2 linked regions of the Macaca fascicularis genome follow. The protein of the gene in region 1 purifies or fractionates together with the protein of each later gene. This does not show direct contact. Links are inferred from orthologs where the notes say so. Each region holds a gene or a part of one and is shown on either strand. Other genes may lie near its edges.

The links. Proteins that work in one complex are often made in the same cells at the same time.
Region 2: the proteins of EIF3G (region 1) and EIF4G1 purify together in Homo sapiens (affinity purification with mass spectrometry; 3 studies listed by BioGRID, with this or other methods). This does not show direct contact. The link is inferred for Macaca fascicularis from reciprocal best matches to the Homo sapiens genes EIF3G and EIF4G1.

What each region holds. Positions count from the first base shown.
Region 1 is NC_088393.1:10,661,208-10,668,717, reverse strand, and holds EIF3G (eukaryotic translation initiation factor 3 subunit G), read left to right. Parts: upstream 1-2,517; 5' UTR 2,518-2,577; coding exon 2,578-2,597; intron 2,598-2,736; coding exon 2,737-2,783; intron 2,784-3,274; coding exon 3,275-3,358; intron 3,359-3,466; coding exon 3,467-3,555; intron 3,556-3,665; coding exon 3,666-3,725; intron 3,726-5,157; coding exon 5,158-5,262; intron 5,263-5,354; coding exon 5,355-5,544; intron 5,545-6,282; coding exon 6,283-6,390; intron 6,391-6,518; coding exon 6,519-6,655; intron 6,656-6,755; coding exon 6,756-6,862; intron 6,863-6,986; exon of another isoform or gene 6,987-7,240; coding exon 7,241-7,256; 3' UTR 7,257-7,356; downstream 7,357-7,510. UniProt on the Homo sapiens protein: RNA-binding component of the eukaryotic translation initiation factor 3 (eIF-3) complex, which is required for several steps in the initiation of protein synthesis.
Region 2 is NC_088376.1:96,241,967-96,248,791, forward strand, and holds part of EIF4G1 (eukaryotic translation initiation factor 4 gamma 1), read left to right. Parts: intron 1-71; coding exon 72-184; intron 185-1,014; coding exon 1,015-1,107; intron 1,108-1,311; coding exon 1,312-1,378; intron 1,379-1,676; coding exon 1,677-2,492; intron 2,493-2,547; exon of another isoform or gene 2,548-2,626; intron 2,627-2,756; coding exon 2,757-2,845; intron 2,846-2,937; coding exon 2,938-3,124; intron 3,125-3,212; coding exon 3,213-3,346; intron 3,347-3,474; coding exon 3,475-3,633; intron 3,634-3,799; coding exon 3,800-3,988; intron 3,989-4,174; coding exon 4,175-4,372; intron 4,373-4,594; coding exon 4,595-4,741; intron 4,742-5,271; coding exon 5,272-5,508; intron 5,509-5,661; coding exon 5,662-5,766; intron 5,767-5,872; coding exon 5,873-6,032; intron 6,033-6,088; exon of another isoform or gene 6,089-6,164; intron 6,165-6,243; coding exon 6,244-6,344; intron 6,345-6,825.

The sequences.
Region 1 (7,510 bases):
TTTTAAAGCTTTGCCCAATCTGCTAGGTTGTTTGGATTTTGTGTTGCTCAGAGTACATTTGAGTAAGCTTGTACAAATGTTTATCAGCCCTTTGGACCAGCTTCATATTTTCACCAATATACATAGCCAGGACACCCTCCTGAAAAACCGCCGCAAACCGCAGCGGTGTGCCTCTCTTTCCTGCCTCCAGCTAATGTTTTTCCTTCCACTTGGGTCTCTACAGGCTTCTAGAATAATTTTTTCCACAAGAAAAGCTGGTGATATTCTAAACCCTTGAGTGGCCTCCTCACTCACACCTCAGAGGATAAACAGCATAAACTTTGTTTTTCCTGTCTTCTTCTTTATTTTTCTCAGGCCATTCTCCCTTACAAGTTTGTTTTGTTTTGTTTGTTGCATGTATGTGTCTGTGTGTGTGTGTGTGTGTCTGTGTCTGTGTTTTCGAGACAGAGTCTCGCTCTGTTGCCTAGGCTGAAGTGCAGTGGTGTGATCATGGCTCAACCTCCTGGACTGAAGCTATTCTCCCACGTCAGCCTCCTAAGTATCTGGGACTACAGGCACACAGAATTATGCCCAGCTAATTTTTTTAAAGTTGTTGTTTTCTTTTTTTTTTTGTTTTTTTTTTTTAGGGGCCAGGCTCACAACTGTAATCCCAGCACCTTGGGAGGCTGAGGCGGGCCCCTGTCTCTACTATCTCTACTAAAAATACAAAAATTAGCACGACATGGTGGCCGTAGTCTGTAATCCCAGCTATTCGGGAGGCTAAGGCAGGAGAATCTCTAGAACCCGGGAGGCAGAGGTTGCAGTGATCCAAGATTGTGCCACTGCACTCCAGACTGGGCGACAGAGTGAGACTGCATCCCCCCCCAAAAAAAATGTGTTTTAGAGATGGGGGTCTTGCTATGTGTTGCCCAGGCTGGTCGAACTCCGGGGCTCAAGTGATCCTTCTGCCTCAGTCTCCCAAAGTGCTGGGATTACAGGCGCGGGCCACAACACCCAACTAATTTTTGTATTTTTAGTAAAGACGGGTTTCGCCATGTTGCCCAGGCTGGTCTTGAACTCCTGACCTCAAGAGATCTGCCCGCCTCGGCCTCTCAAAGTGCTGGGATTACACCTGTAAGCCACTGCATCCGGCATTGTCAAACTTTTTTTGTTCATATCACCCTCCTTAGGAGAAAACCCGAATTATTCTAAAATTGAATTTACATCAACTAAATTAATTTCAATATAATTACATTTAATATCTCCCTAAAGGCAGAAACTAAATACTTAGGAATAAGATGGCTGATAGAGCTGGCTTTAGAAGACCACAATATCTAAGATTTTTTTCCTCCCTGAAAAGCAGTTTTTTCCCCTGGGGAGTCATCATGAATCACTCCAACTGAGGACGGTTGTGCTTAGAGCAAGCAGCTGAGCCATAAAGAAGTAAATGCACAAAATTATACCGGAAAGCCAAGAATGCTACAAAGAAAAGAAGAGGGAGTGGCTGGGGAGGGGGGCGACTTGGCATCTGAATCATTGAGATCGGGAAAGAAGATAAGGAACAGTTTAAGCAAAAGGATTGTTTTCCCTGAGCTTTGGTTTCTTTTTTCTTTTTTTTTCTGTTTTAGAGACAGGGGTTCTCACTATGCTGCCCAGGCTGGTCTCAAACTCCTGGCCTCAAGCGATCCCCACACCTCAGTCTCCCAAAGTGCGGGATTACAGGCATGCGCCACCGGACCCAGTCTGAGCCTCAGTTTCCTCAGCTGTAAAATGGAAGTAATATCCTCCTCACCGTGCTTCATATACAACAAGCACTCAATAAGTGAGCCTTGTTATGATTATTATTATTTATTTTAATTTTACTTCTTTTTCTCAGACAGAGTCTCACTCTGCAGCCCAGGCTAGACTGCAGTGGTGTGATTTCGGCTCACTGCAGCCTCCGCCTCGTGGGTTCAAGCGATTCTCCCGCCTCAGCCTCCCGAGTCCCTGGGATTATAGGCGCCCGCCACCACGCCTGGCTAATTTTGGTTTTTTGTGTGTGTGGGGTTTTTTTTGTTTTGTTTTTTTTTTTGAGACGGTGTCTCGCTCTGTCGCCAGGGTGGAGTGCAGTGGCGCAATCTCAGCTCACTGCAACCTCCACCTCCCGGGTTCAAGCGATTCTCCTGCCTCAGCCTCCAATCTGTAGCTAGGACTACAGACGCGCACTACCACGCCCAGCTAATTTTTGTATTTTTAGTAGTGACGGGGTTTCGCCACGTTGGCCAAGCTGGTCTCGAACTCCTTACCTCAGGTGATCCGCCCGCCTCGATCTCCCAAAGTGAGGGGATTACAGGCTTGAGCCACCGCGCCCCGCCTATTTTAATTTTAAAGGTTAATAGGACCAGCACTGAAATCAGCCTCTGCCCCGCCAGCCCTGCTCTGGTACCAGCAGCGTTCAGCAGCACACACAGCCGCGTGCGCCTCCACCTCCGTCCGCAGGTGTCGTTGTGGGTGCCGCGGCTGGGCCTCTCTAGCGGCGACGGCGACACCGGAAGTCTCGTTTTCCACCCACTTCCGCTCTCTGGCCAGGCTTGGGCTGCGTGGAGAATACTTTTTGCGATGCCTACTGGAGACTTTGAGTGAGTCCGGGATCGCGGAGGGGGGCATGGGAAGCGGTTGGGGTGCTCTGGGCAGTATTATGGGGCCTGGGTGTGCCGAGGCTGCGGGGACCGGGCCTTGCTGACTTAATCTTCGCTTCCCACACATTTGTTTCCGCAGTTCGAAGCCCAGTTGGGCTGACCAGGTGGAGGAGGAGGGGGAGGACGGTAAGTGTACCCGGTCGCGCGGGGTAATCGCGGCCAGGCCCGAGCCGGGCGACTGACGCCTGCTTCCATCTCGCAGTCTGGCACCGTGTCCCCCGTCACGACCAGCCCCTGCCCCGCGCCATCCTCCTTGGGACCTGCCTGTTGCCAACTCCAGGTGTTCCCCGGCGGGTCCCTGTTCCTCCCATGTTACTGCCGAAGTCCTCCCAGCTGTTGCCTTACTCCAGGGAGGAAGTTGTAATCTCCCGTCTCCTGTTTCTCTACTGGCGCCTGGTTGGCTTCATGGCCTGGCACCCACCTTCCTACGAGGGATCCCCCATCTTTGCCACTCCAAGTCCCCACAGGGCTATCCCAGTGCGCTGCCTGGTCAGCCCTCTGCCCTTGACCTGCCTTTCTCAGCTCTTGCTGTAGGCATCATCCCAAAGGCCCTTCCATCGCAGCTGGGGAGCTCCTGCCCTGGACCTGACCCCTCCTCCCCACGCTGCCTCTTGCAGACAAATGTGTCACCAGCGAGCTCCTCAAGGGGATCCCTCTGGCCACTGGCGACACCAGCCCAGAGCCAGAGCTACTGCCGGGAGGTGAGTGAGGACTGCCACTCCGTGTCCGGGCTGCCTCTCCCTCCAGCCCTGCCGCTCCTGATCCCCATGACCCAGGGCTCAGTCCTTCTGTTTTTCCCCTTCTCCCAGCTCCACTGCCACCTCCCAAGGAAGTCATCAACGGAAACATAAAGACAGTGACAGAGTACAAGATAGATGAGGATGGCAAGAAGTTCAAGGTGAGGGTAGGGGGGCCCTTAGACCAGAAGGCGGCGGGGTATGCTGAGGGGGTTGGTAAAGGAGATCCCCTAGTCCCAGAAGCCTGACCCTTCTCCCCTGCCATCCTCAGATTGTCCGCACCTTCAGGATTGAGACCCGGAAGGCTTCAAAGGCTGTTGCAAGGAGGAAGGTGAGGCGCTCCTTCCCCAGGGCTAACCCAGAGGAATTGGGAAACCGTGCTCCGGGACCTTTTTGTTAAGAGATGGGGCTTAACTCTTTTTTTTTTTTTTTTGAGACAGAGTGTCGCTCTGTCCCCCAGGCTGTAGTGCAGTGGCACGATCTCGACTCACTGCAACCTCCGCCTCCTGGGTTCAAGTGATTCTCCTGCCTCAGCCTCCTGAGTAGCTGGGATTACAGGCATGCGCCACCACGCCCAGCTGATTTTTGTACTTTTAGTAGAGACGGGGTTTTGCCATGTTGGCCAGGCTCGTCTCGAACTCCTGACCTCACGTTATCCACCTGCCTCGGCCTCCCAAAGTGTTGGGATTACAGCCGTGAGCCATCGCACCCAGCCGGGCTTAACTCTTTGTACCTATTTTGTTGAAGCTGAACTGAGGCCTGGAGTGCTTACACTCTCTTGGGACTCTGGAAAGTCCAGGGCATAGGAGTCGATGATAAATAGCGATTAAATAAATGATAAATATCTAATAAAAGTTTGATGATAGATATCAAATTATATTAATAAATGTCAAATAAATTCCATTATAAATATCGAGTGAAAGTTAGATTCTTTTAATTTTTTTAAAGACACAGGGTCCAGTTCTGTTGCCCAGGTTGGAGTGCAGTGGCACGATCATAGCTTACTGCAGCCTTGAACTCCCAGGCTCAAGCCAACCTGGGATTACAGGTGTGCACTGCCACACCCGGCTAATTTTAATTATTTGTAGAGATGGGGTTTCACTATGTTGCCCAGGCTGGTCTCCAGCTCCTGGGCTTAAGAGATCCTCCCACCTTTGCCTCTCAAAGTGCTGGGATTACAGGAGGGAGCCACCGGGCCCAGCCGGGGTTAGATTCTTGTTCCTCTTGGCCTGTCAGCCTGGAGGAACAGAGGCAGGAGGTGGTCGCAGCAGTTAGAGGCATTAGCAATAAATACACTTAGAACAGCTTGCTGTGCACTTAATTGTAACATGCCCCATGGCAAACGCCTTGCAGGGAGTGTCTCTCTGATTCAGTCTCCTTAGGAGCCCAGGGAGGCAGGAAGCTTTTGTGGTTCCCGTTTGATAAGGGAGGAAGGGAGGAAGCTGAGGCTCAGGTTGTCTAGCTCAAGGGCCCGGAGGTCTGGGTAGACCCCTGCACATCCCTGAGTATCACGCCCTGGTGGGAGCTGGTCCGCCAGCCTGCACAGGCCCCAGGCTGTACAGCTGTCACCTGGAGCTTGGGCCTGGCGTGTACTCAGGAAATGGGAACTGTCGCCAGGACTATTTGGGGAGTGGTTGAGGAGGATGAAAATGGGGTTCGAGGCCCAGGTACTCTGGGGATGGCTGCTGTAGGTCTAGGGTACCCCACTGTGGAACCCTGCCTGCCCCTGCCCTCAACTGTCCCCCATCCCCCCCTGAGCCCAGAACTGGAAGAAGTTCGGGAACTCGGAGTTTGACCCCCCGGGACCCAATGTGGCCACCACCACCGTCAGTGATGACGTCTCTATGACGTTCATCACCAGCAAAGAGGTGAGCAGGGCGTTCGGGGGGGCTGGCGTGCTGGGGTGGGGCACAGGGGGTGCCTCAGCCGCCTCTGAGCTCCCACAACCCGCCCCTGCCAGGACCTGAACTGCCAGGAGGAGGAGGACCCCATGAACAAACTCAAGGGCCAGAAGATCGTGTCTTGCCGCATCTGCAAGGGCGACCACTGGACCACCCGCTGCCCCTACAAGGACACGCTGGGTCCCATGCAGAAGGAGCTGGCCGAGCAGCTGGGCCTGTCTACCGGCGAGAAGGAGAAGCTGCCGGGAGGTGCGGGGCTGGGGATGCTGGCTGCCATGGCGGGGGCGGGGGGTCCTGCTGTCAGTGCGCGGGTTCTGTCCCCAGTGCTGCCTTTGTGCTGTCATCTCCCACACGACAGCGTGGCAGGGTTGATGGCGCCCGACTCTTCTCAGGGCGTCTGTGCCTTCCTAATTGGCTGTACCTCCTGTGGTTGGGAGACCGGCGTCTCTCGTGTATGTGTGACTTGGCAGCTGTGACTCTGCTGGTGGCCCTATGACTGTCCTGATGGGAGCTGCTGTCTGTCGGCCCTTGTGTGTACACACTGTGTGTGTAGTGTCTCCGTTGCATGCCTGTGGCTGTAACGTCTGAATCTTTTGGTGGGATTGCTGGTGGTGAGTGTGAGAGTGGAGACGTGCATTTGTCGCCTACCATGCGAGGGAAACCTGGGCACTGTTCCTGTCGTGTGTCCCATGCCTGCTGTCGCTGTGGATGTGAGGCTGCCATTCCCGTCGCCACCCCCCCAACCCACCCTCTCTGGGGTGGGGTCAGGGCTCCCTCTTCCTCCGCCATTGTCACCGGCCAGGAGCTCAAATGGTGTCAGCTTCCTAGGTGTCACCTTGGTGTCCTCGTGGCCAACTGGCTGCCTGTGGCTTGGCACACGGTGCCTGCGCTGGGTCAGCACTGAAGCCTGAGCCTCCTGGGGCGGCTGTGTCCCTGTTCCTGCGCCAGGGTGAGGTTGAACTCAGTTGACTGTCTTTTGGTCCCCAGAGCTGGAGCCGGTGCAGGCCACGCAGAACAAGACAGGGAAGTACGTGCCACCAAGCCTGCGCGACGGGGCCAGCCGCCGCGGGGAGTCCATGCAGCCCAACCGCAGAGGTGAGGGGCACCCTGATGCCAGGCTGGTGGGTGGGCATCTCCCGGCACCTCGTAATTATCCCCAAAGCATGCACACAAGGGCCGGGCAGGGGCCTCCCCCTCACAGCCACCTCCCCTCTCCCACACAGCCGACGACAACGCCACCATCCGTGTCACCAACTTGTCAGAGGACACACGTGAGACCGACCTGCAGGAGCTCTTCCGGCCTTTCGGCTCCATTTCCCGCATCTACCTGGCTAAGGACAAGACCACCGGCCAGTCCAAGGTGGGCAGGCAGGCGGGTGCGACGGGGCTGTGTGAGGGTCACCTGTCCTGGGGTCGCCTGTCCTAGTTTGTGCCCCTGACCCCACCCCGCCCCTGCACAGGGCTTCGCCTTCATCAGCTTCCACCGCCGTGAGGATGCCGCGCGCGCCATCGCCGGGGTGTCTGGCTTCGGCTACGACCACCTCATTCTCAATGTCGAGTGGGCCAAGTAAGACTCCACCCCCGCCCCACCCCTCCCCACCCCAGCCCCTGCTCCCCACCTCGTCCCAGCACCTCCACGGAACCTTGGGCCAACCAGTGGCCGTGTGCCAATTTAGCAGTCCCCCAGCTGGTTTTGAGGGGACAGTCCTTTATTGTTTTTCTCCAAAACCTGGCAGAGGGGCAGAGGGGTGGCAGCTCTTGTGCCTGGGGTCCCTGCCAGTCCGTGGGCCAGGCCTTGAGGCTGGCCATCTGGCTCAGTGCCCGCTTTGTCCTCCCATTGCCCCGTCCTTCTCTGCCCCTAGCCCGCCACAAGGCACCATTTGGGTGTCTGGGGTCTTGGGGCGCCCCTGGAGGTCTCATACCCTGCCACCCTCCCCTACCCCAGGCCGTCCACCAACTAAGCCAGCTGCCACCGCGTGCTCGGCCCAGGACCCTCGGCGACAGAAGGCAGCCTCTGAGAGAGCGGGCTCCAAGGGCAATAAAAAAGCTCCACTCTCTCTACCCGGTCCTGTTTGTTCTCGTGTCTCCAGTCCTGTGACGGGGACCAGCGCCTCCCCTCTCCTGGGCATGGTTTGGTCCCTGACGCTGCAGGGAGCCCTGTGGCCAGCACTGTTGGGTGGGAAAGGCAACTGCTCCTGCCTGGGCTGCAGCTGGG
Region 2 (6,825 bases), on another chromosome or scaffold:
TGTCAAGCAGGCATTAGGATATGGTTGGGCCCTGACGCTACCACCATTCTTCTCCGTCCCCCTCCCCCAAGCTGGCGCCTACTATCCAGCCCAAGGGGTGCAGCAGTTTCCCACTGGTGTGGCCCCCGCCCCAGTTTTGATGAACCAGCCACCCCAGATTGCTCCCAAGAGGGAACGTAAGACGGTGAGTAGCAGCGAGGGGCTCCGGGACATCTGGGAAGGGGAGAATCAAGGTCAGATGCTGCTGGGACATTGTGCCGGAAAGAACAGTGACTTGAGGAAGGAGCTGAGAGTGGGCAGAGAATGGGGTCTGTGGAGGGCTCAGGTTCTTTGTAAGATACTAAGATTTTAGCATAGAAGCAGGTCATGGGAAGACTGAAGTGGCTAGCGAGGAAGTTCCTGTGAGACCTGGGTGCTGGGAGGTTGGAAGAACTGTGCTTGCTTTTGGGCTTCTGGTGGCTTGCCTTGGAAATGGTTTGTTTTCTGTGGCCCCAGCCCCCATCCCCACCCGGCCCCCCCCACAAGTCCTGGAAGCTCTCAAGGCCTCCGCCTCTGCTCAGTCCTCAAGCCCTGGGCGTGGTGCCCAGAATAGGGTGCCAGAGCTGGGGAAGCCGCTGAGTCACCCTGGCTCCACCTACTGGATCTGGGCCCTGCCCCCAGAGATCAGGCACACTAGCCACAAGTGAGCCGATTGGGTGCTAGATGGGGGTCTTGGGCCCCAGGGTGTGCAGCCACTGGCTTGGGGACTGCTGGTGGGGTAGGGATGAGGGAGGGAGGGGCATTGTGATGTACAGGGCTGCTTTGTGAGGTCAAGGGTCTCTTAAGGGTGGGAGCTAGGGCAGGGACTACAAGAGCAGCCAGATGGGCTGAAAGTGGAACTCAAGGGGTTTCTGGCACCTACCTACCTGCTTCCCAGTGTGGGGTGGGGAGTTGGCCCAGAGTCTTAAGAGTGGGGCAGGGTGGAGAGGTGGGCTCTTCCTGCTTCCCACTCATCCCATAACTTTCTTTCCCCAGATCCGAATTCGAGATCCAAACCAAGGAGGAAAGGATATCACGGAGGAGATCATGTCTGGGGCCCGCACTGCCTCCACACCCACCCCTCCCCAGGTACTGTCTGTTTTTTGAGCGATACCCTGACTGGGATGTCTGTTCTGCCCTGGACTCCCAAGTCTCTGGATCTTTTCTTTCAACTAAGGGATTTATTTCCCTGCTTTCCTGGATTTCTAGGCAGAGCTAAAGTAGAAATGGCTCTAGTAAAGAAGGGTTGTGGGACTCTTCAGTGCAAACTTGGTAACCCTTTGTGTCCTGCAGACGGGAGGCGGTCTGGAGCCTCAAGCTAATGGGGAGACGCCCCAGGTTGCTGTCATTGTCCGGCCAGGTAAGTAAGCGGGTGGGATGGAACTTTTACGGGGAAAGGGAATGTTGACAGTTTGCTGTCACCTCAATGCTGAGGTGGTGGAGTGACTTGAACTGGGTACCAGAGAAGGATGACTTAGATTTCAGGTCGTGGGATTTTGAGGGTGAATTGGGTTTTGGATGAAAGTGGAAGTATAGCTTAGGTGGGAGATGATGACGTGGGAGTGTTAAGTTGGAAATACCTTGGCTGGAGGATGGGGAGGAACAACAGCAGTGAAGCACTTGCCTTTAGTTGCTCATTCTTCCTTCCTATGGTGCAGATGACCGGTCACAGGGAGCAATCATTGCTGACCGGCCAGGGCTGCCTGGCCCAGAGCACAGCCCTTCAGAATCCCAGCCTTCGTCACCTTCTCCGACCCCATCACCATCCCCAGTCTTGGAACCGGGGTCTGAGCCTAATCTCGCAGTCCTCTCTATTCCTGGGGACACTATGGCAACTATACAAATGTCTGTAGAAGAATCAACCCCCATCTCCCGTGAAACTGGGGAGCCATATCGCCTCTCTCCAGAACCCACTCCTCTCGCCGAACCCATACTGGAAGTAGAAGTGACACTTAGCAAACCGGTTCCAGAATCTGAATTCTCTTCCAGTCCTCTCCAGGCTTCCACTCCTCTGGCATCTCACACAGTGGAAATTCATGAGCCTAATGGCATGGTCCCATCTGAAGATCTGGAACCAGAGGTGGAGTCCAGCCCAGAGCTTGCTCTTCCACCAGCTTGCCCCTCCGAATCCCCTGTGCCCATTGCTCCAACTGCCCAACCTGAGGAACTGCTCAACGGAGCCCCCTCGCCACCAGCTGTGGACTTAAGCCCAGTCAGTGAGCCAGAGGAGCAGGCCAAGGAGGTGACAGCATCAGTGGCGCCCGCCACCATCCTCTCTGCCACTCCAGCTATGGCTCCTTCAGCTACTTCCCCCGCTCAGGAGGAGGAAATGGAAGAAGAAGAAGAAGAAGAGGAAGAAGGAGAAGCAGGAGAAGCTGAGAGTGAGAAGGGAGGAGAGGAACTGCTCCCCTCAGAGAGCACCCCTGTTCCAGCCAACTTGTCTCAGAATTTGGAGGCAGCAGCGGCCACTCAAGGTAAGGATTGGTTGGGCAGTAGAGGTAGGGTGGGCTAGGGGATGTGGTTCCTTGCCCTCCTTGATGACCTCCCGTTTTTGCCATGTTTCTGGGTCATAGAGGCCCTGCAATGGAATCTAAGAACTAGATTAAGGACTTTTAAGCCTGAAGACTGTGATGCAAAGGGGAAATATGTACTTTGGCTGCTTTTTATTTCCCAGGGATTAAGGGTACTCCTTAAATTATTGGCAAAGACCCATGCTTTTATTTATTTTTTAAAATTAGTGGCAGTATCTGTGCCAAAGAGGAGACGGAAAATTAAGGAGCTAAATAAGAAGGAGGCTGTTGGAGACCTTCTGGATGCCTTCAAGGAGGTAAGGGAGCAGAAAACGGAAGGGGAGAGGGCCAAGTTGAGGTATGGAACAGTGGTCATTGTGCAACCAAAACTGGTGTTCTGTTGTTCTAGGCAAACCCGGCAGTACCAGAGGTGGAAAATCAGCCTCCTGCAGGCAGCAATCCAGGCCCAGAGTCTGAGGGCAGTGGTGTGCCCCCACGTCCTGAGGAAGCAGATGAGACCTGGGACTCAAAGGAAGACAAAATTCACAATGCTGAGAACATCCAGCCCGGGGAACAGAAGTATGAATATAAGTCAGGTATGCTGAAGAAAGGGTTGAGAATGACTTGAGTTTTCTTATTAGGGCCAGAGAAGACAGTATGATTGCTTCATTCTCTTCCTCGCAGATCAGTGGAAGCCTCTAAATCTAGAGGAGAAAAAACGTTACGACCGTGAGTTCCTGCTTGGTTTTCAGTTCATCTTTGCCAGTATGCAGAAGCCAGAGGGATTGCCCCATATCAGTGATGTGGTGCTGGACAAGGTTAGTGGCTTGAGTCAGGGAGGGGACGATAAGTTTGTGCTGGATGGATTGGGGAGGAGCCTGAGGTCCTGAAAGAGTAGTCAACTGCTCTAGCCTGCTTCTAAGACCTTTTCCTGTCCTCTTTGCAGGCCAATAAAACACCACTGCGACCACTGGACCCCACTAGACTACAAGGCATAAATTATGGCCCAGACTTCACTCCATCCTTTGCCAACCTTGGCCGGCCAGCCCTTAGCACCCGTGGGCCCCCAAGGGGTGGGCCAGGTGGGGAGCTGCCCCGAGGGCCGGTGAGTGGGGCTGGGTAAAGGGGCAGGTGGGTAAGGAGTGGGAGTGGATGATTCCCCTGTGTCTCAGTGCTGACGGGGAGGGTTTTGCCCTGGAGGCGTGTAGTAGTGGTATCACATATTGTGCTGACTAGTTCCACGTCCCCTCTTGTCTTCATCTCTTGCTTAGCAGGCTGGCCTGGGACCCCGGCGCTCTCAGCAGGGCACCCGAAAAGAACCACGCAAGATCATTGCCACAGTGTTAATGACCGAAGATATAAAACTGAACAAAGCAGAGAAAGCCTGGAAACCCAGCAGCAAGCGGACGGCAGCTGATAAGGACCGAGGGGAAGAGGATGCTGATGGCAGCAAAACCCAGGTACTGGCGAGTCCTGCTTTTGGTCTCTCTCCATTTCTTTTCCATGTCTGCTGTCAGTGCCCTCTTTGCTGCTTTTTGTCCTTATCAGTAGCATCTGTCATGCCTAAGTCCCCACCACTCTCTCCTGTCCCTCTGAACAGCCTGTTCTGAGACCCTCACTGGAACTCTTGTCTCCTCTTCCTCCAGGACCTATTCCGCAGGGTGCGCTCCATCCTGAATAAGCTGACACCCCAGATGTTCCAGCAGCTGATGAAGCAAGTGACGCAGCTGGCCATTGACACCGAGGAACGCCTCAAAGGGGTCATTGACCTCATTTTTGAGAAGGCCATTTCAGAGCCCAACTTCTCTGTGGCCTATGCCAACATGTGCCGCTGCCTCATGGCGGTTAGTTTCCACTGGGTTCTAAATCTTATGGTCTAGTTGCCCATTTCTATTCCCAAGACTCCTTGAGTCCAGCTTCTTGGTTCTCCTCCAACTTGCACCTCTTCCAGCTGGAAGGAGGCACAGCTGGGGCCAGATATCTTCCTGGGTCAGGTAGTTAAAGGCTCTTGGAGGGCCTTCCCTGCCCAGTACTAGTCTGAGTGTGACATTCTCTCCGACCTGCAGCTGAAAGTGCCCACTACGGAAAAGCCAACAGTGACTGTAAACTTCCGAAAGCTGTTGTTGAATCGATGTCAGAAGGAGTTTGAGAAAGACAAAGATGATGATGAGGTTTTTGAGAAGAAGCAAAAAGAGATGGATGAAGCTGCTACGGTGAGAGAAAACCCACTACCGATTCCACTCCCCACTTAGCTCCTTCCCTCACCCAGATTCTACTCAACTGTAGAATTTGGAATGGAAATAGTGGTGTCTTGGGGATTTCTCTGGCTCAGAACTTTTTTTTTTCCTTTTTGAGACAGAGTCTCGCTCTGTCACCGAGGCTGGAGTGCAGTGGCGTGATCTTGGCTAGCCTCCACCTCCCGAGTTCAAGCGACTCTCCTGCCTCAGCCTCCCAAGTAGCTGGGATTACAGGCATGTGCCACCATACCTGGCTAATTTTTTTGCATTTTTAGTAGAGACGGGGTTTTACCATGTTGGCCAAGCTGGTCTCAAACTCCTGACCTCAAGTGATCTGTCTGCCTCGGTCTCCCAAAGTGGTGGGATTACAGGCATGAGCCACTATGCCCAGCCAGCCTGCCTCAGGACTGAGTGCTTATTGCTAAGTTTGGATATCCAGGTAGAAAAGGGTTTTAGCAGAGTGGCTGGCTATCTTTTTGACACAATCCCTGTCATGTGAATGGCAGGCAGAGGAACGAGGACGCCTTAAGGAAGAGCTGGAAGAGGCTCGGGACATAGCCCGGCGGCGCTCTTTAGGGAATATCAAGTTTATTGGGGAGTTGTTCAAGCTGAAGATGTTAACAGAGGCAATAATGCATGACTGTGTGGTCAAACTGCTTAAGAACCATGATGAAGAGTCCCTTGAGTGCCTTTGTCGTCTGCTTACCACCATTGGCAAAGACCTGGACTTTGAAAAAGCCAAGGTAGAGGTTCTTGCATCTGGAGGGGGATGGGCTGAAGCATGCGGGGCTCACTGAGCCACAGGGACGAGGCGGAAGGCCTGAGGGGAGGGGTGGGGCCTGCAGTTATAGGTGAGACATGAGAAGTTCCTGGTCTGATGCCTTTCTCCTCCATAGCCCCGAATGGATCAGTATTTCAACCAGATGGAAAAAATCATCAAAGAAAAGAAGACGTCATCCCGCATCCGCTTTATGCTGCAGGACGTGCTGGATCTGCGAGGGGTGTGTGTCCCCCTCCTCCCCACTGCCAGCCTGCTGCCTCCAGTTTCTGACACTGTCTTGTCTGGCCTTCCCTGACATCATCGTGACTGGCCTTCTGTCTCCACAGAGCAATTGGGTGCCACGCCGAGGGGATCAGGGTCCCAAGACCATTGACCAGATCCATAAGGAGGCTGAGATGGAAGAACATCGAGAGCACATCAAAGTGCAGCAGCTCATGGCCAAGGGCAGTGACAAGCGTCGGGGTGGCCCTCCAGGCCCGCCCATCAGTGAGTTCCAGGCTGGGATTGAGAAGGGAGCAGTGAAGAGACTGGGAGGTTATACTTTCCTCTGATGACTTCCTGTTAGTGCCACGTGTCTGGGCCACTGAGACCCCATGATGGAACTGAGGATCTGAGGAAGGGAGGCTGGGGGTGGCCCAAGGGGAAGGGGCTGCTAAGGTTTATTCATTATTCCAGTATGCCCCTCTTTTTGTGTCAGGCCGTGGACTTCCACTTGTGGATGATGGTGGCTGGAACACAGTTCCCATCAGCAAAGGTAGCCGCCCCATTGACACCTCACGACTCACCAAGATCACCAAGGTAGGGGTGTGTGTGGGAGTGGGTGATTCAACTCAGGTTTAGATCTTCGTCCCCTCACTTTTCTTTTTTTTTTTTTTTTTTTTTTGAGACGGAGTCTTGCTCTGTCGCCCAGGCTGGAGTGCAGTGGCCGGATCTCGGCTCACTGCAAGCTCTGCCTCCCGGGTTCACGCCATTCTCCTGCCTCAGCCTCCTGAGTAGCTGGGACTACAGGCGCCCGCCACCTCGCCCGGCTAGTTTTTTGTATTTTTTAGTAGAGATGGGGTTTCACCGTGTTAGCCAGGATGGTCTCCATCTCCTGACCTCGTGATCCACCCGTCTCGGCCTCCCAAAGTGCTGGGATTACAGGCTTGAGCCACCACGCCCGGCCGTCCCCTCACTTTTCTAAGGTTGAGAAGGTGACAACTAAATGTTTCCTCTTAGACTAACTGGTTGGATTGGTAGAGACAGTACTGCCAGCTGTAGAGGGAGGGTGGTACTCCCA